Linked DNA regions of Rattus norvegicus. The protein of the gene in region 1 purifies or fractionates together with the protein of each later gene. This does not show direct contact. Links are inferred from orthologs where the notes say so. Each region holds a gene or a part of one and is shown in the gene's direction. Other genes may lie near its edges. The genes, in order: Hsp90ab1, Mcm5, Erbb2, Ikbkb, Chuk, Ppp5c and Cdk4.

Region 1 (3,978 bases):
TCTCTAGGTTCAAAGAGCTGCAGTAGGGAAGAGGGCTAGCTAGAAAAGCGAAACCAGCTTGAGAAACAGCTTGTGCTCGCAAAGGGAAGGCACATGTCCCCGCGCGCCTTGTACGTGGGCGACCCGGGAGGCTGAGGGTTGGGGAGTGTTCTACCCAGTAGCGTTCGGTTTCCCGTCTCTGTTCACAGAAAGGTGTCCGCAGTCACTCACCCCCACAGCCCCCGTGCCCTGTGACCGATCCAGGTCAGCCATCCCTCCCCCCTCTGCGCTCCACACCTCCACAGTAATGTGGGCCTTCCAGGGCCACGAGTCGTACAAACGTAGCCCATGGTACAGAGACTTGGGGAAAATATTTCCCCAGGTTAAGATCGTGGCAGAGAAAAAGAACCAGCCGAAAGGCGATGAAGACACAGCCCCCGCCGCAGCAGGGGAGGTGGAGCCTCGGGGGGAGGGGTTGAGACCGCCGAGACAGGCCTAGAAACTGCTGGAAGAAATCGAAGCACCGCCACTGCTGCTCCTTCCGCCACAGGCCGCCAAAGAGTCCCTGCTAGCCCAGGCCCGCGCCCCTCCCCTCGGAGAAGCTGCTCCCCGCCTGCCGCTTCGCTGTACCGGGGAGGGTGGGGATCAGGGACTCCTTAAAGTTGGACAACGAATTTCTTATCATCCTTTTCTCTCGATGTGCGATTTGTAGGGAACATTCTAGTAAGATCGGGTCTGAAAATGGCAGCCGAATTGGTCACCTCCGTTCTCTTTCAGAAGTCCCTTGAGGACTGGACTCTTGAGGGTGGGAGCGCCTACATCGAATTTTCTGCGCGAGTCCGTGGGGTATTCGCCGCAGATACATCCCCTAATAGCATATGCATGCTCCCTGGCCATCTTGAGGGCTACATGTCCTACTCATGCAGAAATGAGGGTACCAAACGCTATTGAATTGGCCTTGACTCGCAGCCCAGGCCCGGGGTCCCGCTCTTCCCCGCCCCCTCCCCGGTCTGCGAGCATGACGTCAAGGTGGGCGGGCGGTGGCAGGTGCGTGGCTGGCAGCCACTCCTTTAAGGCGGAGGGATCCAAGGGCGGGGCTAGGGCTGTGCTTCGCCTTATATAGGGCGGTCGGGGGCGTTTGGGAGCTCTCTTGAGTCACCCCCGCGCAGCCTAGGCTTGCCGTGCGAGTCGGACGTGGTCCGGGCCCACCCTGCTCTGTACTACTACTCGGCTTTCTCGTCAAGGTAAGGCCGCGCTCTCCTGTACTTGGCGGCTCCGTGGGTCTTCTTCCTGGGGTCTCCGCCAACATCTCATCTGAACTAAAGGCTCCTTGTTGGGCTGGGCGGTCTGCGGGGATAATGTGCCTAGAATGTCTCCAGTGGCTCATGGTGGACCCCGGCGGGCTTGCACCGCGAGGCTCCCCCGGGGCCGGTGGATTCCCCAGAGCGTGAGGTGGGGGTGCGGCCGGGCCAGGTGGTGGGCGGCCGCACGTGGTAGCCGCCGACCCGGGACGCTGCCATGTTTGCCCTCCACTTCCGGGCGCGGCTGCAGGGTCCATAGGGTCCGCGCGGTGGCGGGCTGCTATGTGCATGACTCAGCAAGACGAGGTTGGCCTGGCTACCTCCCCCGGACGCGTTTCCCAACGTGTTTTGTTCTGGGGAGGGGTACAAGGGTTGGCAGGAACGCTTGAACCCACTGCGTTTGTCCCTTTCCAGATCTTTCTGCTGCCCTCCCCGTGGAGTGGGAGGAGAAACGGGGAGGGAGCAGGTACGGGGAGATTCTTAGGTCCCTCCCTTACTCCTCCCCTCCCGGGAGCTCAGATTGTTCTGGAAGCCTCGGGCGCCCCGCCCCAGTGCCCGGATGCTGGGGCGGTGGGAGGGCTACAGTGGCGCCCCCTCCCCGTGAGTCTCCTGGCGACGCATGTCCGGGTCGCCGGACGGCTGGGCCACCATTTTACTTGTGTTTGGGCCTATGCAAGTCTGCACAGTTCAGCGTTCATGGTGGAGCTTTTTACCTCTTTGTCCTGATTTAATTGCCCTTTGAGTCCTTCCAGAACTATAGCTTCGGGTTTTCTTGCCCTGCCGAGGGGAAGAGCACAAATCCGTTTACGGGAGGCTGCTCTTTCTGTTAAAGTTGATACTTAACCCCAGTGAAGAATGAAGAAGAAATTGGGGATCTTATTGTATAGTTAACTCAGTCTGGATTTTTACTATATCGGCAGGTGTTCTGTTCTGAGTCAGGGAGCTGAACTCTTAATATGCCGTTCAAAAAGTCTGACATTTGGACATTAGTTTGAAGAGCCATCCTTTGGGTTTTTTTCCATTCTTGATTTGTCTTGCCACTGTAGCTTTAAGGTCTTTCTTTTATTTCTTTCTTTTTTTAAACAAATGGCGGTTCTAGTCTTGGGAATGGGTACTACCCAGATTAAAGAAGTTTGAACTGAACTTTTAATAAGACTTTCATTCTTAGATGCCTGAGGAAGTGCACCATGGAGAGGAAGAGGTGGAGACCTTCGCCTTTCAGGCAGAAATTGCCCAGCTGATGTCCCTCATCATCAACACTTTCTACTCAAACAAAGAGATTTTCCTCCGGGAGTTGATCTCTAATGCTTCTGATGTGAGTGTTCTGTTGAATTTCTAAGACGCCACAGAAGAGTGTGAGTGAGTGAGTGAGTGTGAGAGAGAGAGAGAGAGAGAGAGAAGCAGGGAGTGATTAGAGTAATCCAGCAGTTGATGAGAAGGAACTGTTTGGATAAATGGAATAAGTGGCTGTGTACGTGTACATTACAGGCCCTGGACAAGATTCGGTATGAGAGCCTGACTGACCCTTCCAAGTTGGACAGCGGGAAAGAGCTGAAGATTGACATCATCCCCAACCCTCAGGAACGCACGCTGACTTTGGTGGACACAGGCATTGGCATGACCAAGGCTGACCTCATAAATAACTTGGGAACCATTGCTAAGTCTGGTACAAAGGCGTTCATGGAGGCTCTCCAGGTGCGTGTGTGGCCTTCCACCCATGCCATTCTCAATTTGTTACTGCTTCTGGCTTGCTAATTTAAAACTTGTCAGACTAGGATGTGTGGTCTGTCTTTCTAATAAGTACTTGTGGCCTAGATTCTGGAAGTTGAACTGATTACTACACTTGCTCAGCAAGCGGTTGTGCTTGTACAAGAACAGTTTTGCTCACTCTCTTACAACCCTTTGCAGGCTGGTGCAGACATCTCCATGATTGGGCAGTTTGGTGTCGGCTTCTACTCTGCCTACCTGGTGGCAGAGAAAGTGGTTGTGATCACGAAGCACAACGATGATGAGCAGTATGCCTGGGAGTCTTCTGCTGGTGGATCCTTCACTGTCCGTGCAGACCACGGTGAGATGGCAGTCTACGTTGGGTTGGTAGAATTCTCTGGGGGAAAGCCAGAAAGAAGCAGCCTTAATAGTTACTGTACTCTATAAAAGTACATTTTTGAGGGGTGAATGGCAGCACTTGGGACATGGCATACACGGGTGGTGGGTGAGTTGAGGCAAGCCAGGGCTGTGCAGAAACAGATCGCTTGAGAAACCAGGAACAAAAAAGAGGTGTACCTGTTTGTTGAGTATTTTAGTTGCAGTTTTTCATGTCTGGTTCACTCTCTGTAGGTGAGCCCATTGGCCGGGGTACCAAAGTGATCCTTCACCTCAAAGAAGACCAGACAGAGTACTTAGAGGAGAGGAGGGTCAAGGAGGTGGTGAAGAAACACTCACAGTTCATAGGCTACCCCATCACCCTCTATCTGGAGAAGGAACGCGAGAAGGAGATCAGTGATGATGAGGCAGAGGAAGAGAAAGGGGAGAAGGAGGAGGAAGATAAGGAGGATGAGGAGAAGCCTAAGATTGAGGATGTGGGATCTGATGAGGAGGATGACAGCGGCAAAGATAAGAAAAAGAAAACAAAGAAGATCAAGGAGAAGTACATTGACCAGGAAGAGCTGAATAAGACGAAGCCCATCTGGACCAGAAA
Region 2 (3,500 bases), on another chromosome or scaffold:
TGGACCCATATTTCATCATGCCTGACAAGTGCAAGTGTGTGGACTTCCAGACCCTGAAACTGCAGGAACTGCCTGATGCAGTCCCTCATGGTGAGATGCCCAGGCACATGCAGCTGTATTGTGACAGGTAAGTGTGCAGGGGCTGTGGGTTGGTGTGCACGCCACTCCATCTGGTGGCAGTGTAGGCTCAAGCCCTCGCTGTGTCTGGTGCATTATCTTATGTGTGAGCCACTGCCGCTGTCCTCACACATCAGAAGAGGGCATCGGACCCATTGCAGACGGCTGTAAGCCACCGTGTGGGTGCTGGGAATGGAACTCAGGACCTCTGGAGAGCAGTCAGTGCTCTTAGCCACCCAGCCCCGACTTTGTCATTTTTTGTTTCCCATAGTTTGCAAGGCATGTCCACTCCTACTTTATTTACATGGGTACTGTAAACTAAGGGAGGTCAGATGACTTTATGAGTAGAACTAAGGCCTGTGTGTCTTCCAGGACAGTCTCTATCCCTCCTAGTACAGAGCTGGATAACCAGAAGCAGTGCTAGCTCCTATCTAGTTTGGGCCTTTGTTGAATAGTCACAAAATGACCTAGATGAAGGCTTACGGATCCCTGAGTTTTTACCCTGGGCTCATATACCTGAGGATGAGTATCAGATGTAAAGCTTGCTGGGGAGTGGATCCACAGTTGTCAGCTTTATCATTGACAAAACTGTGCAGACTCAGCTTGGGGAAACTATATACTAAGTCCCAATTTTTTTTTCCTAGACAGAGTGCCTGAAAAGCCATTATCAAGAGTTTAACACAATTGAGTATATTGTATTAGAGTCTTCTCTTATGTATTCAGAGAACTGGGGGGTTGCATCGTGGAATGGGTAGGAAGTTAATAGGACAGTGTATGTAGCAAAAACAGTCCTCGGTGAGACTGATTTGATAGTATCTGTCCTCGCTGAGACTGATTTGATATACATAGAACACCTTTCAGTTTGTTGGTTACCTTGCTTGATTCCCAACAGCTGAGACAAGTCAGAGTCCTCTTTTCAAGCTCAGAGAGGCACAGTGACTTCTGAATTCACACAGCTACCTTATGGTCCTTTAAGCTATATTGATTCTGGGGAAACATGGAGACTTTAACTGCTTAACGTCTTATTGTTAAAGAGATGACTGAAAACTAGAGGCAGATTGACCGCGCTGAGCTCAGGGAGTATGGTGGAGGCAGAAAGGGAGGGAGGGTAGCGCTAGCACGTAGTCCGTAAGGGATTGAGGAGGAAGTTTGCCCTAGGGTGCCTGGTCACAGCTAAAATAAGCTAGGACTTCTGAAGGCTTGGCAAGGGCACCATGCCTCACCTCTGCCAGTACAGCACCTGACCTCTTGAGTTCAGTGAGAGTCAGGCCAACATCCTGACACTGTGCTAACTATGCAGGCTGACGTGTGTGGTAGCAGGAGCAGGGAAAGGTTCCGTTACTAACTCTTAAACCACACAGGGATTGAGCTGCCTTGATAGTGATACTTAGGGTAGAAGCACTGAGCTGACCACACCGTCCATCACCTTGAATCCCATTTGCTCATCTTTATCTTCCCTGCACTTTACCCAGGTACCTGTGTGACAAGGTTGTTCCTGGGAACAGGGTCACCATCATGGGCATTTATTCCATCAAGAAGTTTGGCATGAACCCCAGCAAGGGCCGGGACAGAGTGGGTGTGGGCATTCGGAGCTCCTATATCCGGGTGCTGGGCATCCAGGTAGACACAGATGGTTCTGGTGAGTTGCTTTGAATTCTACAAGCTGCTCACGTGATAACCTAGGCATTCTTGAATTGCTCAAACCGTTAGGATGTGCTGTGCTGTGTGTGTGTGTGTGTGTGTGTGTGTGTGTGTGTGTGTGTGTGTGTGTGTGTGTGTGTGCGTGTGCGCGCGCGCCACATTAGACAAATATTCTACCACTTAGCAGTATTCCCTATCCTAGGGTGTTCATTTTTACAGCAACAGTTTGTTGCCCTAAATTTTCTACTTACTGGTGTAGTTTGTAGCTGCTGCCCTAAGTTGTTGCCTGAATGCATGCTTGAGTTGCATGACTTGGTGTTATAGATGGGATGAGGTGTGTGTCCTGTGCTGCATCTTGGTGGGTGGAAAGGAAAAAGTGCATAAGTGTGAGCAGACAGGATCTAGTTGGAAAAGGAGCCCCTAAGGGACAGGTATCTGACATTGAACTGCTTTATTCCATTGAGCATTGTGGGAAGGAGTCGTCTATCAGGAGTGTGAGCAATGGCTTTGAAGGGTGTCGGTGTGAGGGAGGTCCTTTCAAGTATAAAGGAGAACTGGTGGGAACTCAGGGCGGGTGGGGGTGGGGGTGCAAGTGACAGGGTCGAGTGGTAGGGGTCAAGTAAAGAGCCTCAACTCTGAGATGGAGCAGAGATCTCATGCTTACATCCAGGGACAGCGGGAGCTGCCTTGAGGAATGGTCCCTACCTCTGGTCTAGAGTGATGGAGTTCTAGTACTGTGTCCATATTTCGTGTTGGTAGGAGCTAGCTCCCTTGGTTAAAACTGGAAAAGCTATGGGTTCATCTGGCCATATTCCAGACGTGGACTCTTCCTGACTTGCCATATCACTTCATGCATTTCCCATCTCTTGAAAGCGGCTCTTCTTTAGCCTTCCCTCCCCTTGCTTAGCAAATCCTCCAGATCCTCTTCAGTTCCCTATGTTGTTTTTTAAATCCCCTTACCCAGTAAGCAAGCTGCTTGGCTGCTCTACTTTTATGGCCACTTTTTTTTTTTTTAAAGATTTATTCATTTATTATATATAAGTACACTGTAGCTGTCTTCAGATACACCAGAAGAGGGCATCGGATCTCTTTACAGGTGGTTGTGGGCCACCATGTGGTTGCTGGGAATTGAACTCAGGACCTCTGGAAGAGCAGTCAGTGCTCTTAACCGCTGAGCCATCTATCTCTCCAGCCCTTATGGCCACTTCTTACCTCCCTGCTCTGAGTCCCACTATTGTCTCCTGGGTTGTTTTTTTAAAGCCCTCTGCCACTTGGTCCCACCCGCTTCACTTGGTCCCACCCTCTTCACTTGGTCCCACCCTCTTCACTTGGTCCCACCCGCTTCACTTGTCTCACCCTCTTCACTTGGTCCCACCCTCTTCACTTGGTCCCACCCTCTTCACTTGGTCCCACCCGCTTCACTTGTCTCACCCTCTTCACTTGGTCCCACCCGCTTCACCTGTCCCACCCTCTTCACTTGTCCCATCTCCTTTCCTCAGCAGCTCAAGCTGTTTTGATCGAGCAATTGCACTGACTATCTGTCTATGAGAGACTTTCCAGTGTCCTCAAGAGTATGTGATCTGGCCTTCTGTTTGGAACTTTTTTCCTCTCTGGCCCCTTGAGATTTGAAAGACTGATGCAGCCCCGTGCCCTAGCTTTCCTTTTCCTGAGGGACTGACTGTCCTGGTGCTGAGAGCGGTTGGTGTGTTGACGGCATGTCAGGGTGCTTCTGATCTAGGCTG
Region 3 (3,500 bases), on another chromosome or scaffold:
GCTCACTAAAACAGGCTACAGCCATGACCAGGGAACATGAGGAATTGATTTTACATCTCTAGTGCTGGGATCACAAGCTCAGCATCACACATGAGCTGCTGCTGCTGCTTTCTTCTTCCTCTTCCTCTTCCTCCTCCTCTCCCTCTTCCTCTTCCTCTACTTCTTCCTCCTGCACTTCCTCCTCCTACTCCACTTCCTCCTCCTACTCCACTTCTTCCTCCTCCACTTCCTCCTCCTACTCCACTTCTTCCTCCTCCACTTCCTCCTCCTACTCCACTTCTTCCTCCTCCACTTCCTCCTCCTACTCCACTTCCTCCTCCTACTCCACTTCCTCCTCCTACTCCACTTCTTCCTCCTCCACTTCCTCCTCCTACTCCACTTCTTCCTCCTCCACTTCCTCCTCCTACTCCACTTCTTCCTCCTCCACTTCCTCCTCCTCCTCCACTTCCTCCTCCTACTCCACTTCTTCCTCCTCCTACTCCACTTCCTCCTCCTCCACTTCCTCCTCCTACTCCACTTCCTCCTCCTCCTGACAGGGTTTCTCTGTGTAGCCCTGGAACTCACTCAGTAGACCAGGCTGGCCTCAAACTTGAAGATCTGCCTGCCGCTGTGGATGCTGTGGTTCCGGGGTATGGAACGCAGGTCCTCAGGCTCGTGGGGCTGAGCCCTACTGCTTAGCCTCATTGCCTCCTCCTCTCTTTCCTACGCCTCAGTGCCTCCCGTGTAAAGGGAGGACCGGCATGGCTCTGTGCTCAAGGTGGTTAGAGTCAGATAGAAAGTTAATAGTTGGGACAGGCGCCTGACGGATGCTGAGCGCCCCCTGTGTTCGTATTTTAGAATCTGCGGGGATCAGGGTTTTATGTTAACAGCACCCTGTTCAGATGTCGTTCCTACAAACAGTTCAGGTTGTTTATGCCTCTGGGAAGTGAAGCCAGTGTCCATGCAGGATATACCACAAATAAGACTTCTAGACCAAAGGACACAAATATTACTGCGCCAGACTTTGACCCTAGGCTTCAGTCTTCGGATGGGAACAGCCTAGTTGATAGGCTTTGAGTGAAGGCATCTGTGAGGGTGGAGAGGGGGTCGCCAAGGCCTTTCGGGGCTCCGCTGACTCCTCCGGATCCTTCTAGGGACCCCTCCTCCGGCATTGCTCCGCTGAGGCCTGAGCAGCTCCAAGTGTTCGAAACCCTGGAGGAGATCACAGGTGGGCTGTCTGTCTGTCCTCCTCCGAGGGGGCTGGGAGTTCTGGACCTTTCTACATACCCATCCCCCCCTCGGCCTGCAGGTTACCTGTACATCTCAGCATGGCCAGACAGTCTCCGTGACCTCAGTGTCTTCCAGAACCTTCGAATCATTCGGGGACGGATTCTCCACGAGTAAGTGGGAGGGAAAGGAAGCCTAGGAGGCATGGCTACATACCCTGTGGCCCCTCGGTGATCAGAAGTGGGCCTAGAGTAGGTACCTTCTTGAGATTGGAAACCCCATTTCCACAGTGGCGCGTACTCATTGACACTGCAAGGCCTGGGGATCCACTCGCTGGGGCTGCGCTCACTGCGGGAGCTGGGCAGTGGATTGGCTCTGATTCACCGCAACGCCCATCTCTGCTTTGTACACACTGTACCTTGGGACCAGCTCTTCCGGAACCCACATCAGGCCCTGCTCCACAGTGGGAACCGGCCGGAAGAGGATTGTGGTAAGACAGGCAGCCTAGCACTGAGGGTCAGTACAGAGGAGTATCAGGAGCCTCTGTCAGCAGCCTCTCCGGTGCGGCCGGTGCAAACCTCGTGTCCGAGCCCTGTTGTTGTTTGGAGACAGGATCTCACTATGTAGCCCTGGCTGTCCTGGAACTCACTCTGTAGACCAGGCTGGCCTCCAAATTCAGAGAGACCCACCTGCTTTTACTTCCCGAGTGCCGGGATTAAAGGCGTGTGCACCATCAGGCCGGGCTACAGCCCTGTTCTTTGCCTGCCTATGGACGGCTTAGTCTTGAGCATGGCTTCAGCTGTGTCGTCTGTGCTGCCAGACATCCCCCCAACCCCTTCCCTTTTTCTTGAACCTGCATGTCCCAGCACCAGTCCTTAACCCTTCAGCCTGGAGACAAGCTCATAGCCTTTTCCCTTAGACCTGAGCCTCTCCAAACACCTCCGTCTGCTGCTTTTCTCCTCGCTGCAGGTCTCGAGGGCTTGGTCTGTAACTCACTGTGTGCCCACGGGCACTGCTGGGGGCCAGGGCCCACCCAGTGTGTCAACTGCAGTCATTTCCTTCGGGGCCAGGAGTGTGTGGAGGAGTGCCGAGTATGGAAGGGGTATGAGCTGCAGAGGAGTGGGTGGCTGGAGGGGTACTCGGGGGCAACCCCCACCGACCAACTCCTTACTACACCCGCCTCTCTCTCAGGCTCCCCCGGGAGTATGTGAGTGACAAGCGCTGTCTGCCGTGTCACCCCGAGTGTCAGCCTCAAAACAGCTCAGAGACCTGCTTTGGATCGGTGAGGTGCTGGTGGGCTCAGGGCTGAGGGAGGGGCAGGCTGAGGGACCAGGAGGTTGCTGCCGGGTGAAATATTCCCAGAGAAGGACTCCACTCAGGCCTGGAGAGACAGAGCAGGGAAGATCAGGGAGGCCAAGACTGGGCGACTGGGGGACTGGGGGACTGGGGGACGGGGGACTGGGGGACTGGGGGACTGGGCGACTGGGGGACTGGGCGACTGGGGGACTGGGCGACTGGGGGACTGGGGGACTGGGGGACTGGAGGACTGGGGGACTGGAGGACTGGGGGCTGCTCACATTGTGCTGTGGACTCTGGGCTACCTCTTCCTGCTGTTGACACTGGAGCCCTTTCAGCCTGGGACAAGGTTCCAAGAAGGCCTGTGTCCTTGGCAGTGGCTATGCTAAGGACCAAATGCAGGCCATGTTTCCAGCCTCAGTTTTCCCTTCTATAAGGTGAATGTTGTAATAGTCCCTACCTGGTTGGGGTGTGGTGAGAACAGAATTAAATAGGATTTGGCGCAGTGCCCAAGCATGAAATAAAACCTTTGTACATAATGGCTGTCACTTGTCACACCTTAGGGGATGCACGTCCCTCTCCGGGTGCCTCCACTTCCTTGTAAAGAGCAGGGATGTTTACTCCAGTAACTGGGAGGCAGTGTTTCTGATTCGGGGACACAGGGCCCAGTCCTTTTGCTAGAGGGATGGCAGCCCTAAACCCTCACAAACCCTTCCTGTCTGTCCAGGAGGCTGATCAGTGTGCAGCCTGCGCCCACTACAAGGACTCGTCCTCCTGTGTGGCTCGCTGCCCCAGTGGTGTGAAACCGGACCTCTCCTACATGCCCATCTGGAAGTACCCGGATGAGGAGGGCATATGCCAGCCGTGCCCCATCAACTGCACCCACTCGTGAGTGGAGGGAGTGAGTCTCTTCAGTAGAAGAGAGGGTCTTCATGACAGGAGCCTCTTTAGAGCGTATTACGAGAAGGGTGCGATAATATGAGGCTGGTTTAACTTAT
Region 4 (4,191 bases), on another chromosome or scaffold:
AAGCGCAAGGCCCTGGGTTCGGTCCTCAGCTCTGAGAAAAAAGAAAAAAAAGAAAGAAAAAAAAAAGAAAGAAAGCTGTGACCTTCCTGAGAACTGTGGTCAGGGCAGAGTGCAGAATGTTCTTCGCACAAGGTGGCCTTCTAGAAATAATTGCATAACCTATAAAAAGTGGATGGCGGTGAAAGCGAGGACCGAAGGGTATGTCCATGTTATCTCTGTGGGAGGGGCGAAGTTCTGGGAGGAATATTCTTGGCTTTTTTCCTCACACGTCCAAGGATGATAAGACATAATACCAAGTGTATTCCCTTGTTGTCCTTGTATTTGCGAAAGCTCTCTGTCAACATCACTTCGTGTTTTGCTCGCTTTAACAATAAAAGAGTGAGAAGTGCTTTATTTGCTCTATTCCTGAGTTCAAATTCTCAGAGTTCCCTAGTTATCCCACAAAGACCGTGGACTTATCATTCAATCCGTGGAAGACTCTGTTGGCCTCGCTGGTTGCTGTCCGCTGTCTAAAAAGCCAGCAATGTCAGAAGCCTTGTGCTAACAGCAGAGGAGCCTGGCTCAGGCAGAGCTTTCACACGGTTCTGACAAATGCCACCTCATAGGAGAGACTGGAGCCTCATCAATGATGGTGGACCAGAACATACCTTGAGCACAAATACTTAGTTATGTATACCTCTTCCCTTCCATTTAAACCCAAACCCCATGGCAGGACCCCAAAATTGGACTTGGCTTAGCAGAGGTACGGGTGAGAGTGATTGGATCTCTTGTCTTTTCCCAATGTAGTCACATTGAATAAACTTCTTCACCCGCCTTTCATCGCTACTTGTATCATGAATTAGGCTATGGAAGGTGAGTGGCTGAACCTGGCTTGCTCGAGGCAGGGGTGGGGGCTGGTAGGGGTGTGGAGTGGCAATACCCAGGCTCTTGACCTAATAACAAGTAATTTCCCTATGCTCCCAGTGCTGAAACTCCAGTTTAGGTAGACAGCACTAGCTTTTGTTTTATCTTTGTACTCTTCCCTCTCCTCCCTCCCCCCTTGAGGGGGATGGTGGTGTGTTATGAGGAGCATAAGGGTGGTTTCTTATTCTTATTTCTGAACCAGGAGCGTTCGGGCTCCGAATGGCGAATGGTGGGAGGACAGGGAAGCAATTCTTAGGACAGTCCCTAAGTCAGCCCTAGTGGGGGTTTAGCAGATTAACTGCCTAAGCCAGTGGGATCAAGCTCAGTCAGAAAAGCGCCAGGGTGAAGAACTCTCCAAGCCGCCAGGTCCTGCACCGCCAGGTCCAGCACCACGGCTGGCTGTGGCTCAGTCCCAGCGAGCGGCTCGCGCGTCCCCTTTAAGAGCCGTCAAGTGCCCGTGACGTCAGGGCAGGAAGTGTTTGAGGAAGTGGCGCTGAGCTGGCTGCGTGGGGACCCCGAGTTTTCATGTCCTCAGCGGGTGTCGCTAGCGGCCCCGCGGCCCCCGGGGCAGGTGAGTCCCACGCGAGGGTGGCTCGTGGCCGGTGGACCGGCTCGCCCGGGTGCACGCTCGGCTTCTCCCCGGGGTCCCTGGCTGCACCGCGCTCGGTGCGGTGCGGAGCGGACCCGCCGGCGGGCCGGGCCGCAGCAACTTTTATTTGTTAACTAAATCGGTCTCCTAGCCCAGCCTCCCCTTGAAGGCAGCAGCCGCTGCTGCTTCCCCCTGCTTCTTGAGCTCCAGTGTTCTTACTCTCAACTTGTCCTCTCTTCCTACTTGCTTCTAGAGTTAGCAGGGAGGGCATCGATATGAGCTGGTCACCTTCTCTCCCAACCCAGACATGTGGGGCCTGGGAAATGAAAGAACGCCTCGGAACTGGGGGATTTGGAAACGTCATCCGGTGGCACAATCAGGTAGGGCTCTGGCACCGGGGAGGGCGGGTGATCTGTCTTGGCGCCTCTTCTGTCCTGGCCTGGTGTGGATGGGTGGATCCCCTCCTATCCTTGGCGTGGTCCAATGAGAGTGTAAGAAAAGGGACTGCAAAGGGGACCTGTGAGCTGCTAAACTGAGTCTTAAAAACCTTAATAACCCTGATACTTAGAAGGGCGGGGGGGGGGGAGTAAGCTGTCATTCCAAGTATTTTAAAATTATACATTTACTAATATTTAGACTAACACGTGATAGATTACATAGGGATAAATGTTGTAGAATACAGGCAGTGCTAAAAGATGAGAGAAATAAAAACATTTTAAATAACTATTTAAAGTATTTTTAGGTAGTTAATAACTCCAAGGTTTTTTCTTCTTTTTTTCCTTTCTTTTCCTTCCTTTCTCTCTCTCTCTCTCTCTCTCTCTCTCTCTCTCTGTCTCTCTCTCTGTCTCTCTCTCTGTCTCTCTCTCTTTCTTTCTCTCTTTCTTTCTTTCTTTCTTTCTTTCTTTCTTTCTTTCTTTCTTTCTTTCTTTCTTTCTTTCTTTCTAGTATGGTTCTGCACAAAACACCCTTAGTATGATTAAGGCTAATGGGTGAGAATGTGCAGCCCCTATAATGCGGAATGATTTGGACTGATTTTGCTTTGGGATCTGCTTATTATTCCTATTATTTTAGCCCTTCAGTGTCTGGCATGAGTTGTTCAGGTTAAAAGTTTCTGGTCTTCCAATTTTTTTTTGTTTGGGCTGTCGGTAAGTACACTGCGATTCTTGGCAGGACTCTCTTAGCTCACTTGTTTACTGTATGAGATTGTTTTACCCAATTTGGGTAATTGGTTCGTAATAATGCCTAAAAGGCACACGTTGCTTGTGATGTCTCTGCTGGAGAACACTTACTTACCTCAGGGCACGTGAGTGTAATTGTCACACTTGGGGGTCACAGCCTGTGCCCTATGCTGGGTCCTCAGTAAGTCAATTAAAATAGTGGAAAACAAGGGATTCATTCACGGCGAGGTCACATTGGGAAGAGGGACAGACAGATCCAGCAAACCTCCCACATCCATCTCCATGATCCTAACATTAGATTAAAGTTCAAATAGAACGCCAAGGATATGCACATGTAAGCAGTCTGGTCCAGCCTACCACAGGTCCTTTTTTTTTTTTTTTTTTTTTGTCATCCTGTGAGATTTTCTGAGAGTGTGTTCAAGCTCTGTGGCCCAGAAGACAAATTCCCCCTCTGGCTGGTAGTTTTTCCTCTCTCCCACCATGAAATTTCTGGGGAATTTCCCATCTCTCTGGCATCCAATGTTTAAAACTACCTCTTTAGAATGTCTTCATTTCTGCCAGGCCAGTTACCCAACCTCCTGAGAGACCTGGGGAAGTGCTCTCTCTCCAGAGGCCTATTTTTACATTTTAGGATTCCGGTGTTGGGCAACCCTTGGGAAACTTACCAAAACAAGAGGCCACCCTTCTAGGGAATCCTTCCTAAACAGCTAAAACCAAGGTCTTGACTCAAAATTAAGCGGTCAAGGTGAGAGACTAGCTTGGTTGGTGGTGGTGATGATGGGGAGCAATAGGCAGACTGAAGAGGTTTAGGGGTTAAAATAAACAGGACTTGGGTGGATAGAGGGGGTAGGGGTTAGAGTTCAGGAGGAGTCTGGCTGAAGTGGTGCTGGCTGGGGAACATGCCTGCTTAGACCTGGAAGTCCTCTGCTGTCTTCATGGACGGATCTTGGGGTAGCCTCGGGGCTGCTTTGGGTGCATAGAAGCAATCTTTAACCCACACCTAAGATCGGAAGACGCAGCATGCCTTCTGTGGGACGCGCCTCTGTCCCCAGCCTCTAGGCGCATGCAGCCGAGATGGCATCAGGCATCTTCGTGCTACCTCATAGGCTTTCCCTTGTCTACAGGCAAGGGAATAGTCTGTAGCTATCACAGAGAAATTGCCTGAAAGAGCCCTAGTCAGAAATGTGGCCCAAGAACCAGGGTCATTGCTGCAAACCTCTTACATGTCAAGGTCGGGGTAGGTTTCTTACCTGCTGGGTCTGTTTTACCTTACCTTACTTACATGCTTTACTTCTGGTGTTGGCACCTCTAATTCCTGTGTTATAACCGAGGAATCAGAAGCACAAGGGAATTAGGTAATCTATCAAAAGAGGCTATGCCGTTAACACATGCATCTATTCCTATCCGGACGATATGCCCTGCCGTGGCTTCTTCTGGTTGGAGCTAGAGTTTAGGACATGTCCTAAACCATAGCCAGTTACTCTGTAGGTACTCTTTAGCTCTTCACAATCGACCCAAGCC
Region 5 (3,500 bases), on another chromosome or scaffold:
TTGGAACACAGCTCTGTGCATGTTATGGCTGCTTATGAACAGTTCTAGATTTGAGTAGTGGAACAGAAATTATGACTTCCATAGCTTGAAGTACTTAATATTTGACTCCATACAGAAAATATTTGTTAATCTTTGTCTTAATGCTTTCTATTGCTGTGATAAAGACCACAGCAATAGAAACAACAGAAGCAACCTGGGAAAATTAAAGTTTCTGTATGTACCAATCCCAGCCCATCGTTGAGGAAAAGTAAGGCAGGAACTAAAGTGGCAACCATGAAGGAGCACTGCTTATTGGCTTGTTCCTCATGACTCCTTCAGCCTTCTTGCTGTTATAATCTAGGACTGCAGCCTGTCTAGGGGTGGCATTTCCCACAGTGGGCTGGGCCATGCAACATCAACTGCTAATCAAGAAAGTGACCCACAGACTTGTCTACTAGCCAGCCTGATCGGCATTGCCTCAAGTGAGCTTTCCTCCAGCTCGCGCCAAGTTGGCAAGAAAACAAAACAAAAGAACAAACAAACAAACAAAAAACCAAAACCACTAATTGCTATATACATTCTAGGTTTTTTTAATTTAATTTTATTTTTGTTTCTTTGTTTGTTGTTGTTGTTGTTGTTGTTCTTGTTCTTGTTCTTGTTGTTTTTGACACAGCATTTCACTATGGACCCCTGGTTGTCCTAAAACTCACTTTTTAGACCAGGCTGGTCTTGAGATCTGTCTGCCTCTGCCTGAGTGCTGGGATTAAAGGCATGTGCCACCATGCTTGGCCTAGAACATGCTGGTCATATTAAATAAAAATATCAACATTTGTGGGGCTTATTAAAAACTTGTCTTTTTATTATAATCACTCTTTGTATTTAATTTTAAATGTATCTCTTTATCAGCATTTTTCAATTTCAAGTGCTATTGCCCTCGTCTTTACTCCATATGAGCCTTCTCATCAAATTTATTCAACCTCAGTATGGATTTCATGATTTTTTTTTTACCCTTCTATCTCTTGTCATTGTTACAAGTAGCAAAACAGACTTTCAATGTAGCCCATGCTGGCCTTGAACTCAGGGTCCTGCCTCATCTTCCCATGTGCTGGCCTTATAGACATGCACCACTATGCCCCAATCCTTATAATTTCTGTAGCGTGACTTTTTTACTTGAGTGTCCTCTGACGGTATAGTGGTTGATGATTTCGCTGTTGCCACTCAGCAGTAATAGATGTCTTTTCTTTTCTTCTCTTCTCTTTAGCTACTCAACAAACCAGAAAATTGTTGTGGACTTAAAGAGAGCCAGATCCTTTCTTTACTGAGTGACATAGGTATGTAACTAATATTAAAGTATCATGCGATTTAATGCCCCTTTGGTCCACAGAAACTTCTGTGTACTGCTTGGAAGGGAAGGAGAACTACATATATATACTTATAGATTTTAATATCTCTGAAAAATTAGAATTATCCATTTCTTATGATGCTAATGAAAACTAGTACATTTGGCATTTGTTTTTATATGAGGGGGTTTTGTTTGTTGTTTGGTTTTGGCTATGTATTATTGTCTAATAGATGGTCCAGTGATGAGAAAAGTGGTATGAACCAACATTCATCTCATTCCCCCTCATACCTCCCCCCACACTGACATAATAGTTTGTTTATAGAGGAATTACATGTTTCAGGGATAGTTCCTCAAGTTATCTTGGAAGGAAATTCTCCTTCTAGTCAGAATTACTACTGAAAAAAATCCCTAAAATAACCATAAACTAGACCTTTAAAGAAACCTCAAAAAGCAAGAATTCATTTCCCTCTATGTTTTAGTGTTGCTTCTTTTCCTGGGTCAAGGACAGTAATATCTAGTTTAAGAATGTGATTTAGGGGGTTGGGGATTTAGCTCAGTGGTTCAGCCCTGGGTTCGGTCCCCAGCTCCGAAAAAAAGAAAAGGAAAAAAAAAGAATGTGATTTAGGTGGGAGGAAAAGACCATAAGAATTACAGGAAAAATTAATCGTTCCATTTGCTTTTAATGTTGATTCCAATAAATTAAAAGAGTATATAATATAATTTTTCCAGTGTTTATTTCATGTCATTGAACTTCTGGTGAAGAAAATCTGAACTACCCTAATGGCGGTGCAGCTGTGATAGATCGTGTAAATGTGGGGAGGTGTGGTGTGTGGTACATGGGGGCGATTGTTGGTGCACACTCACAGCATGCATCTGGAGGCAACAGCAGGATGGCAGATGTTCTCATTTCCTTAACTTGATTGTTTTGAGACAGAGTCTCTGACTAAACTAGAAGCTCCATGCTCCGACTAGGCTGGCTGACCAGCCAGTTCCTGAGATTTGCCTTTTCCTCTTTTTAACCCTGCTGGGGTTATTGTTACACAAAGTCATACTTGACTTTGTGTGTGTGTGTGTGTGTGTGTGTGTGTGTGTGTGTGTGTGTGTGTGTGTGTTGGGGGGAGGGACAAGGGTTAAACTCAGGTCCTTGGGCTTTCACGGCATTCACTTTTATCCACTGAGCCATCTCCATAATGGCTCTGGACATAATTTTTGCACCAGTGTAGATCTATAGAAATATGAGCTAAAAACTGACTGTAGCTAGACATGGTGGCACACAGCTTTTATTCTAACACTGGGAGGCAGAGATAGAAGGATCTCCATGAGATCAAGACCAGCAGGCCAGCCAGGGCTATATAGTGAGACCCTGTCTAAGGAAAGAGCTGAGGGTGCTGGAACATGCCTGCAGTCACAGCACTGGGAGGGAGAACAAGAGGATTAGGAATTAGAAGTGAAGTAATCCTTGGCTGCATAGGGGTTCCAGGCCAGACAGGGCACATGAAACTGTCTCAAAACTCTAACAATAAAAACAAAGTGTGATATGATTTTTTAAACAGTATTTTCTGTTATTTCACAATACACTTGAAATTTTGTTTAGGATCTGGGATTCGTTATTTGCATGAAAACAAAATTATACATCGAGATCTAAAACCTGAAAATATAGTGCTTCAAGATGTTGGTGGGAAGGTAGGTGAAGCCTGAAGAATGTTCATGCTTTTCGTTATAGTCTCCCTGGTACATTAAGACTTTAGAGACTTTAGTTTTCTCATTAATTATATACACATAGTACTTTATAATTCTTCTATTGTGGTCTTCACTGAATTAAACTGTAGGGTTTTTAATTCTAGACTTATTATTGTTATTGTTTTAGATACATTATTGTTGTGCTTGTTGTTATTATTTTCTGTATATGTGTACCACATATGGTGCTTGTGGAGGACACAAGAAGAAGGCACCAGAGTTCGTGGGTCTAGAATTACAGATGGCTGTGGCCATTGTGTAAGTGATTGGAATTGAGCTCAAGTTCTTTGCAAGAGCAACCAGTGCTTGTAACTGCCTGGCCAATTGTCCATCCCCTGAATGGTGGTTTTGTGGTTAGATTTTTTTTTTTTCCTTCTCTATGGAACAGTGGCTCCTTAGAGAAGCATCTGTCTTGCTCATCTCTGGACTAGGAATATTGACC
Region 6 (4,225 bases), on another chromosome or scaffold:
GACAGACATGGACACCAACATCTATTTCCAGAGTGATTGCTGGTTGTGCTGAGGGGTGGAGGAGGAGTGAGGCTGATACACAGCCTTAAAGCACTTGGTGTTAGCGTCTATCCAGAAGACTTAAAGACTCTAGAATAGGAAGATACATAGTGGGATCTGAAGATGTTACTGGAGGCTAGACTAGCCATGGCTTCTCAGAAAGAGTTTGGGTTTTCTCCTAAGGGAGTTGGGGAGCCATGGAAGGTTGGGGCGGGTGCCAGTCTTACAGTGTTCTAGCAAGATGTCTCTAACTGCCATATGGAAGGTAAAGTGGAGGAGGGAGGATGAAGCAAGCATCAGAGGAGGCTGAAGCTGCGATCCAGGCCAAGAAATGCAGCCAGCAACAGGAGCCTCACTTAAGAGATCCCCTTGGTGTGGTTGTTTGTGTTTGTAACAGGGTCTCAAGTATCCCAGTCTGGCCTTGAACTTGAAATTCTGATCCTTTTGCCTCCACCTATCAATCATTCAAATGACAGAGGTGCATCTTTCAGTCTGGTTTATATGGTGCTGGGGATGGGACTCAAGCCTGGAGCATGCTAGACAAGTACTCTATCAACTGAGCTACATCCATGACCCTCTAAAAGATTTTCCTAGGACTTCATAAGATGGTGCAAAGCTTTAAATCCCAACATTTGGGAGGCAAAGGCAGTTTGGGTTGCTGAGTTCAAGGCCAGCCGGGTCAATATAGGGAGTTCCAGGCTAGCCAGGGCTGCATAATGAAACCCTGTCTCAAAATAAAAAATAAAATAATAAAGATGCTGCTGGTCTCGGAACACGATACAACTGATACGTGCTCAAGGCTTGAAGATTGGGATGCCCTGTTAATAATTCATAAAGAGCTTTGACTTAAAACATTCAAGTTTTATTTTGTTTGCTTGAGAAACTACCCATTTTCCAGAAGGGTCACTGGGGTGACAGGAGATAGACTTGTTCAAGGTCACACGAGTAAATGGCAGCACCCAGCTCCAAAGCAAGCTCCCGGTTGGGCAGGGTGCTGACTTGAAAGCAGCCCCACCCGCCGGAGGCATCACAACCCAATCACCAACCCTAAATGAAGCCTGGATCTCCAAGACCCAAGAAACTTTTTTGCAGCCTCGCAAACTTTGGAAACAGGCGCCCTCCGGACCTGCCCCCACCCCCATGGCCCTCTCTCTCTCCTTTCTGATTGGCTACTTCTACGAGTGCCGTCTGGATACCCTCTGGTCACCTTGTCCTCCGGGCGCTCTGTGGAGGGTGGAGGGAGTGGGGGGGCCGCCGCGCAGGCGCGTCAGGAGTGCCTTTGGGGCCCGCGCTTTACGACACTTGTGCGGCAGCGGCGGCGGTCACTCGGCACTCCTTCGCGACGGTTCGGCCTGGTGCCGCGAGTGGCCGTTGCCAGGGTGGGGGTCGCTTTGCGGCATGGCGATGGCGGAGGGCGAGCGGACTGAGTGTGCTGAGCCCCCCCGGGACGAACCCCCGGCCGAAGGCACTCTGAAGCGGGCAGAGGAGCTCAAGACACAGGCCAACGACTACTTCAAAGGTGCGTCCGGCCCGGACCGGGGTAAGGGAGGGTGGACAGCGGCCCAGGCCGTGGGGGTGCCAGGCCCCGCGGGGAACCATGGCAACGCGGAGCGGCAGCCTGGGCGCCGGGCAGGCACTACTGAGTAGCCCGGCGCGAGGAGAAGGCCAAGGATGGACGGCAGACGGGGGGAGAGCTACTGAGAAGTGGAGTACCGAGCAGAAGCTACTCACTGGGGATACTGAGGCAGGCGCTGCTAAAGGATAGGGGACAAGCAGGGGGCCGACATGTGAGTGCTACCAAATGTGAGAGACCTGGACAGAGATGCTAAATGGTGGTCAGACCTGAAGAGGGCGCTACCAAATAGTGACATGTGTTTAGGGCAGTGATGGCGCTGCCGAGCGGGGAGGCCTGAGGGGAATATGACCAACTGAGGAGAGAAGGCCCAAACAGAGAAGTGAATTATGGGGATGGAAGTAGATAATTATATTGGAAGGCGATTTGGGGTGATCCAAGGAAAGGAGTAGGGTGTAGAGGTGGAGCAGGAACGAATAGGGTGATCTTGGGATAAGAGTGCGATGTGGGAGGACATGTCTCCATTCATTCATTCTTTCAGTACACTTGTATTAAATAAGAGTCATGTGCCACGGCCTGTGCTTGGCTCTGAGGCTGTAGCAATGAATGAAACGCATGACTCGGATTTAAGCAGAACCAATAATTGCTAACTTGTGATGATCACTTTGGCTCAAGGTGACAAAGTAGGGAATACAGCTTAGAATGTGCTTTAGGTGGTGAGGTCTGGAGTGCCTGGAGAAAGGCTTTTTAAGGAGAATTGGGAAGGAGTTTTAAACGTGGGTTTAAGGAGAATTGGGAAGGAGTTTTACACGAGCTTGCTTTTACCATGGATCTTGTGTACCCCGGGGTGGAGAATGAATGAAAACAAACTGGCTTAGTTGGAGCTTGAGCAAACTGGGGGTATGAGGGGAAGACTGATACAAGGTAAGATTGGCAAAGGGGCCAGAGCGTGCAAAATCTGTGAAGTCATTCTGAAGACTAGTTTTGTGTTTCCTCGGCTGTCCCAAAAAGGACATTGAGTAGGTAGGTAGGCCAGTCTGGGCTGGAGAAAATTTTGGGTGTATCCAGCCTTTGGTTGGAGGCGCCCTGGGAATGGATGAAGTCACCCAAGAGTGGGATCCAGAGAGAACCTAGAATGGAGTTTTCATGTTTACAGTGGAAAGGGGGCTGCTGAGGAGAAGTGACTGAGAAACCAGGAAAGGTGCCAAGGCTAAGAGAGCAAGGCTCTTCCAGAAAGAAAGCCATATGCCTGGTCACCTAGCCCCAGGCATTGTCCGTCAGAGGTTTTGCTCCCAGATGAATATGGTGATGATGTTGAGGATAGTTGTGGACGATAAAGAAGCTGCTAGCCCAGAAGACCCTGGCTGGCGAATGCAAGGGAGGAGTTGGAGACCAACAGGCACAAGTGTCTCAGTTCTGAAGGGGAATGGAGAATCGGGGCAGATGGCCAGAGGGAGTAGGTGGGGGTCCCTAGGGATGCTTTTTCAGATATGGCCCAAAAGAGAAACAGGCCCAGCTGTAACAGATCTGGTGGGGGAGGGTGAGAAGGATTTAGAGTCCTAGGGAAAGGTGGGACCTCCATGGGGATAAGCCCAGATGTAGTGATGCATGTCCGTTAACCCAGCTTTCGGGGGGGCTGAGGAGGATGGGGGTGACATAGCAAGGAGAGAGGGGAGGCCAGAGTTAGAGCCTCAGAGGGTCAAGTGGGTTCATAGGTGTCATCCTGAAGCCGGCAAGGAGCTGTGGAGGGTTTCCAGAGAGTGGTCCAGTTACTCTGGGTACAGATACTGGTCCTCCCTGCTGTTCAGAGATTGGATCCAAAGGCTGGATTGGAGAGAGGACCAGGGAAGGCAGTGAGGAGGTGGAGCCTTCCACCAGGCTGGCTGCCTGGAGATGGGGAGGGGAGCACGTGGCTAAGGCCCAAGGTGAGTGGGGCAGGAGTTCGAGGTAGTTAGGAGGGTTAGGATGGAACTACAGACAGAAGGTAATGGCAGGCTCCGGAGGAGACTTGAGCTATCAGTTGAGGCCCTGGAGAACTAAAGCTGGTCCAGATTCATGCCTTCTAAAAGACAGGGCAGGAAGCTGGGAGGCCAAGATACAGGCTACAGCAGAATAGGACTCTGCAGGGGAGGGCAGAGCTTAGGGCAGGGTGGGGCTGCTAGAAGGGAGGGAAGTTAATGGGTGTGAGAGATACTATCGGGACAGTAAGCCCAGCTTGCAGGGTTTGGAAGGTTGGAGGCTGCCAGCACCAGTTGACCAGGCCCAGCTATGTATTGGTTGGAAGGCACGGCCATCTTTCATTGGGTCCTGAAAAGATCAACCAAAAACTGGGCTACTGCTGCTGAGGACAAGTGGGGGATGGAGTTAGCTATCAGGAGGGACCCTTCACCCCCACCCCTACCTACCTTCCAGGTCCTAAGAGTCAGGCTCTCAGGAACCTAGGACTGGGCAGGCCGCCAGAGGGGCCTGGCCTGGAGCTGGCTTGAAGGAGCACCCTTCCGGATGCAGGCCTCCCACTACTGTGGGCAGGCAGTGGCAAGCACAGAACCCCAGGCTCAGACTATAAGGATACCAATAAAAAGAATAATTGCAGCTGGCTTTTATTGCACCCCT
Region 7 (4,060 bases), on another chromosome or scaffold:
AATATAGCTCAGTGACTGAACCAATTCTTACTACATATAAAAACACTGACTCCAATCCTCGGCACCAAAAATAGGTCTAGATTTTAGCAATTCTTCACAGTTGGGAACATGGTCTTTTATCCTCATGCTCCTAATTGATGGGAGACAATAAAGGAGTTGGAGCCAACCAAATCGTCACACAGATCTACCTCTATCTGACTAGATTTCTGTAGGCAGACCATTTAGGAAACGCTGATCAGGGCAAGGGTACGTTCTAAGCAGGACTGGGGAAAAAAAGGAATGTGACCCCTATGAGGAGTCACAGGTTTGCAGAGGGACACAAGTCATATTCCAGCAATGTGGTGGTGACTGCCCTTGGATGTGCTCACCCTGTTGTCTGTTCATGCAATCACATATATATATAGCAATCTTAGTGTAAAGACACTTGTAAGATCAAGAACCCTTATTTCCAATAACTTCTTGCTGCTTTTAATATTCCTGGGGAGGTTTACAAGTTGGGAAGAAGGAGGGCATTACATTGTCGCCCCCCATACAGCGGCTTACTATGTTAATCTTCTTCTATCCATCTTTTAGTTTCCTCCTCGGATAGAAATTGTCTACTCCCTGTTTTTATAAGACCACGGTTGCCTTATTAGCTATCTTTATCATCACTTCAAAGGGCGGAGTGACTGAGACACCAAAACAAAAACATCGCATACCAACTGGAAGGAAGCACTTAGTAAAATTTTGTTGAATGAATGAGTAAAATGAAGACACAAATACGAATGTTTCCCCATGGCGGTGGAGTGGAAATGTTACAGCACCATCTCTGGCACCAGGATCTCCCACTAGCACCTCGACCTCCCGCCCACATAGAGACGCGTAGTGAGACTGAAGATGCTCTCAGGCTCGGCCTTGAGCTGAGCGTTGAGAGCTGGTTGGCCCGGTTGCCATGGCACCGCCTTGTGCCCCACCCTCTCTCGCCCCCACACACCCCCTCCGCAGTCAGGGTTTGGCAGCCGGTCACGTGCCACACAGCGTAACCACACCTCCGCTTCTCAGCGCAAAGTAAAGGGGTCACGTGGGATAGCAACAGGTCACGTGGCAGTACAGGTCCCGCCCTCTTCCCCCACCACACCCCTCCCATCAAAGGGGCCCCGGTCGCCGAGTGCGCATGGGTGGAGGTCACGTGTCCAGAACGTCCGCCGTCGGCCCCGCCTCCCGGGTTTCCGCGCGCCTCTCTGGCAGCTGGTCACATGGTGAGGGTGGGGGTGAGGGGGCCTCTCTAGCTCGCGGCCTGTGTCTATGGTCTGGCCCGAAGCGTCCAGCTGCCCGGGACCGATCCCCGGTGTATGGCGCCGCAGGAAACGGCTCCCGGGCCCAGATAAAGGGCCACCTCCGCAGCTCTTGGCCGAGCGTAAGGTGAGTGCAACCCTTTCCAGAAGCGGGGGGCCAGTCCCCACGAGCACTAGCACCCTCCAGCTCCCCACGCGTGCGCGTCGCTGGCTGAGTATGGAAGGTGGCCCAATGGCGGGAAGTGGGGCCTTTGTGGTCGTGGGCGAGGGTGTGATTTCAGAGAGTGAAGCGCAGACTGTTCCATGCAAGCCCTGTGCACTGTGATCTTCTTTGTGCCGGGCGCAATGGTCCTCCGAAAGAAAAGAAAGCATTCTTTTCTTCCTCCAGGACAAAACGTGGCTGGAAGAGGGTTTGTTGGAAGTCTTTGTGTTACCTAAGGAGCGCGGGCCCTGGATGTGTGGAGGGTGGGATGCTGGTGATAATGTTGGTGAGGTCTTGTGCAGGAGTTTCTTTGTTACTGCCGGGTCATCTCCTCCTAACTGTGAGAGAGAGCTTGGTATTAGAAGCCTCTGTGATTGTAGATCCCCTGCTCCGAGAATGGCTACCACTCGATATGAACCCGTGGCTGAAATTGGTGTCGGTGCCTATGGGACGGTGTACAAAGCCCGAGATCCCCACAGTGGCCACTTTGTGGCTCTCAAGAGTGTGAGAGTTCCTAATGGAGGAGCAGCTGGAGGGGGCCTTCCCGTCAGCACAGTTCGTGAGGTGGCCTTGTTAAGAAGGCTGGAGGCCTTTGAACATCCCAATGTTGTACGGTGAGAAGGTTGGATTGGGAGTGGGGCGGAGAGGACAATAGGACCCGTTAGTCAGGAGTGGGACCCTAGAACGCCAGAGGCCATGTTGAAACAAAGGGGATGGCCAGCTCCTGACCATTTGTTCTTCTCAGGCTGATGGATGTCTGTGCTACTTCCCGAACTGATCGGGACATCAAGGTCACCTTAGTGTTTGAGCATATAGACCAGGACCTACGGACATACCTGGACAAAGCACCTCCGCCGGGCTTGCCTGTTGAGACCATTAAGGTGAGTGGAGGGGTGGGTGGAGGTGGATTGATATGTGCAGTAGAACTTGTTGGGATTTTGGACACAGTGATACATAGTTTCCACAGTTCTCTGCTTCTTTCTTCAAAACCAGGATCTGATGCGCCAGTTTCTAAGCGGCCTAGATTTCCTTCATGCAAACTGCATTGTTCACCGGGACCTGAAGCCAGAGAACATTCTAGTGACAAGTAATGGGACAGTTAAGCTGGCCGACTTTGGCCTAGCCAGAATCTACAGCTACCAGATGGCCCTCACGCCTGTGGTCAGTAAGACAGTAGCCGGAATAGGTTGGGATTCGGGGTAGGGCTTGGTGGTTTCCCAAAGCGACTAAGGAGTCTTGTACTTGAAGTTTTCAGAGCCAAACAGTTGTTTACGAGGACAACACTCACTTATTTCTCCTATTCTCTTTAGGTTGTTACGCTCTGGTACCGGGCTCCTGAAGTTCTTCTGCAGTCTACATATGCAACGCCTGTGGATATGTGGAGTGTTGGCTGTATCTTCGCAGAGATGTTTCGCCGGAAGTATGGGACTAGAAACATTTGTTTTGTTTGCCATGGGACAGGGTTTTTCTGTGTAGCGCTGGCTACACAGAAACGAGATCAGGCAGGCCTTGAACTCTTGCCTCTGCCTCCAGAGTGCAGGAATTAAAGGCATGTACCACCACTGCCTGGCTGGGACTTGAAACTCTTAAGCCACCTTCAGTTCCACAGATCTTTTGCTGCTCTCTCACGGTGCTAGAGGTTGGAATCAGGACTCACGTACACTCAGCCATGCCTCTATTTCTTTTTCTTTTTCTTTTTCTTTTCTTTTTTTTTTTTTTTTTTTTTTTCAGAGCTGGGGACTGAACCCAGGGCCTTGCGCTTGCTAGGCAAGCGCTCTACCACTGAGCTAAATCCCCAACCCCTCAGCCATGCCTCTGTACCACTAAACTAAACACTCTGCCCCAGGTCTTTTACAGACTTATCTGTTCTTGACCATTCTTGTGCATGTACAGTGCAGGATACCCAACCTGGGGTTTCCATAGGCATGGTCCCCTGCCATCCAGCCATAGTCCCAGCCTACCCAGTTCATACCAATCACCTTGCCTAGAAAAGAAACCACATGGGCAAATCTGAAATGCCCTGGATTTAGTAACTTCCTGTTCCTTAGCTCCACACTCTAGTTTGGTCCACTTAACGGTTACTCCGGTTTTTAAAAGAATGTACTTTGACTATCTTTCTACCTTAGGCCTCTCTTCTGTGGGAACTCTGAGGCTGACCAGCTGGGCAAAATCTTTGAGTAAGTATCCACTAAGGAAAAGGAAAGGAACATTCCATAGCAACTGGCTGGGAAGGGGCCCCTCCTGACAGTTGTCCTGTCCCTACAGTCTCATTGGATTGCCTCCAGAAGACGACTGGCCTCGAGAGGTCTCTCTTCCTCGAGGAGCCTTTTCCCCCAGAGGACCTCGGCCAGTGCAGTCAGTGGTGCCGGAGATGGAGGAATCTGGAGCGCAGTTGCTGCTGGTACTGGGCCTGAGCAGGGATTGGGTTAAGACAAGACACGGCATGGCCTGGGAAGCTGGCTCAGTGGGTAGAGCTCCTTTGCATAAGTACTGAGGACCTGAGTTCAAATCCCCAGAATCCACGTAGAAGTCAGGTGCTTCTGTAGTGCCATTCTTGTGGCGAGATGGACAGATCCCCTGGTAA

Evidence for each region.
Region 2: the proteins of Hsp90ab1 (region 1) and Mcm5 fractionate together in Homo sapiens (co-fractionation; 3 studies listed by BioGRID, with this or other methods). This does not show direct contact. The link is inferred for Rattus norvegicus from reciprocal best matches to the Homo sapiens genes HSP90AB1 and MCM5.
Region 3: the proteins of Hsp90ab1 (region 1) and Erbb2 purify together in Homo sapiens (co-immunoprecipitation; 5 studies listed by BioGRID and IntAct, with this or other methods). This does not show direct contact. The link is inferred for Rattus norvegicus from reciprocal best matches to the Homo sapiens genes HSP90AB1 and ERBB2.
Region 4: the proteins of Hsp90ab1 (region 1) and Ikbkb purify together in Homo sapiens (affinity purification with western blotting; 3 studies listed by BioGRID and IntAct, with this or other methods). This does not show direct contact. The link is inferred for Rattus norvegicus from reciprocal best matches to the Homo sapiens genes HSP90AB1 and IKBKB.
Region 5: the proteins of Hsp90ab1 (region 1) and Chuk purify together in Homo sapiens (co-immunoprecipitation; 3 studies listed by BioGRID and IntAct, with this or other methods). This does not show direct contact. The link is inferred for Rattus norvegicus from reciprocal best matches to the Homo sapiens genes HSP90AB1 and CHUK.
Region 6: the proteins of Hsp90ab1 (region 1) and Ppp5c purify together in Homo sapiens (affinity purification with mass spectrometry; 6 studies listed by BioGRID and IntAct, with this or other methods). This does not show direct contact. The link is inferred for Rattus norvegicus from reciprocal best matches to the Homo sapiens genes HSP90AB1 and PPP5C.
Region 7: the proteins of Hsp90ab1 (region 1) and Cdk4 purify together in Homo sapiens (affinity purification with mass spectrometry; 5 studies listed by BioGRID and IntAct, counting the BioPlex papers as one, with this or other methods). This does not show direct contact. The link is inferred for Rattus norvegicus from reciprocal best matches to the Homo sapiens genes HSP90AB1 and CDK4.

The regions. Positions count from the first base shown.
Region 1 is NC_086027.1:22,929,245-22,933,222, forward strand, and holds the start of Hsp90ab1 (heat shock protein HSP 90-beta), read left to right. Parts: upstream 1-1,178; 5' UTR 1,179-1,223; intron 1,224-2,448; coding exon 2,449-2,595; intron 2,596-2,768; coding exon 2,769-2,975; intron 2,976-3,188; coding exon 3,189-3,348; intron 3,349-3,617; coding exon 3,618-3,978. UniProt on the Homo sapiens protein: Molecular chaperone that promotes the maturation, structural maintenance and proper regulation of specific target proteins involved for instance in cell cycle control and signal transduction. Undergoes a functional cycle linked to its ATPase activity.
Region 2 is NC_086037.1:13,495,313-13,498,812, forward strand, and holds part of Mcm5 (DNA replication licensing factor MCM5), read left to right. Parts: coding exon 1-127; intron 128-1,589; coding exon 1,590-1,756; intron 1,757-3,500. UniProt on the Homo sapiens protein: Acts as a component of the MCM2-7 complex (MCM complex) which is the replicative helicase essential for 'once per cell cycle' DNA replication initiation and elongation in eukaryotic cells.
Region 3 is NC_086028.1:83,921,101-83,924,600, forward strand, and holds part of Erbb2 (receptor tyrosine-protein kinase erbB-2 precursor), read left to right. Parts: intron 1-1,133; coding exon 1,134-1,207; intron 1,208-1,288; coding exon 1,289-1,379; intron 1,380-1,496; coding exon 1,497-1,696; intron 1,697-2,175; coding exon 2,176-2,308; intron 2,309-2,397; coding exon 2,398-2,488; intron 2,489-3,229; coding exon 3,230-3,390; intron 3,391-3,500. UniProt on the Homo sapiens protein: Protein tyrosine kinase that is part of several cell surface receptor complexes, but that apparently needs a coreceptor for ligand binding. Essential component of a neuregulin-receptor complex, although neuregulins do not interact with it alone.
Region 4 is NC_086034.1:76,020,640-76,024,830, forward strand, and holds the start of Ikbkb (inhibitor of nuclear factor kappa-B kinase subunit beta), read left to right. Parts: upstream 1-1,391; 5' UTR 1,392-1,474; intron 1,475-1,745; 5' UTR 1,746-1,767; coding exon 1,768-1,872; intron 1,873-4,191.
Region 5 is NC_086019.1:252,934,274-252,937,773, reverse strand, and holds part of Chuk (inhibitor of nuclear factor kappa-B kinase subunit alpha), read left to right. Parts: intron 1-1,240; coding exon 1,241-1,310; intron 1,311-2,915; coding exon 2,916-3,004; intron 3,005-3,500.
Region 6 is NC_086019.1:86,839,706-86,843,930, reverse strand, and holds the start of Ppp5c (serine/threonine-protein phosphatase 5), read left to right. Parts: upstream 1-1,425; 5' UTR 1,426-1,437; coding exon 1,438-1,558; intron 1,559-4,225. UniProt on the Homo sapiens protein: Serine/threonine-protein phosphatase that dephosphorylates a myriad of proteins involved in different signaling pathways including the kinases CSNK1E, ASK1/MAP3K5, PRKDC and RAF1, the nuclear receptors NR3C1, PPARG, ESR1 and ESR2, SMAD proteins and TAU/MAPT.
Region 7 is NC_086025.1:64,770,193-64,774,252, forward strand, and holds the start of Cdk4 (cyclin-dependent kinase 4), read left to right. Parts: upstream 1-1,260; 5' UTR 1,261-1,401; intron 1,402-1,856; 5' UTR 1,857-1,872; coding exon 1,873-2,090; intron 2,091-2,221; coding exon 2,222-2,357; intron 2,358-2,469; coding exon 2,470-2,637; intron 2,638-2,786; coding exon 2,787-2,896; intron 2,897-3,602; coding exon 3,603-3,653; intron 3,654-3,741; coding exon 3,742-3,877; intron 3,878-4,060.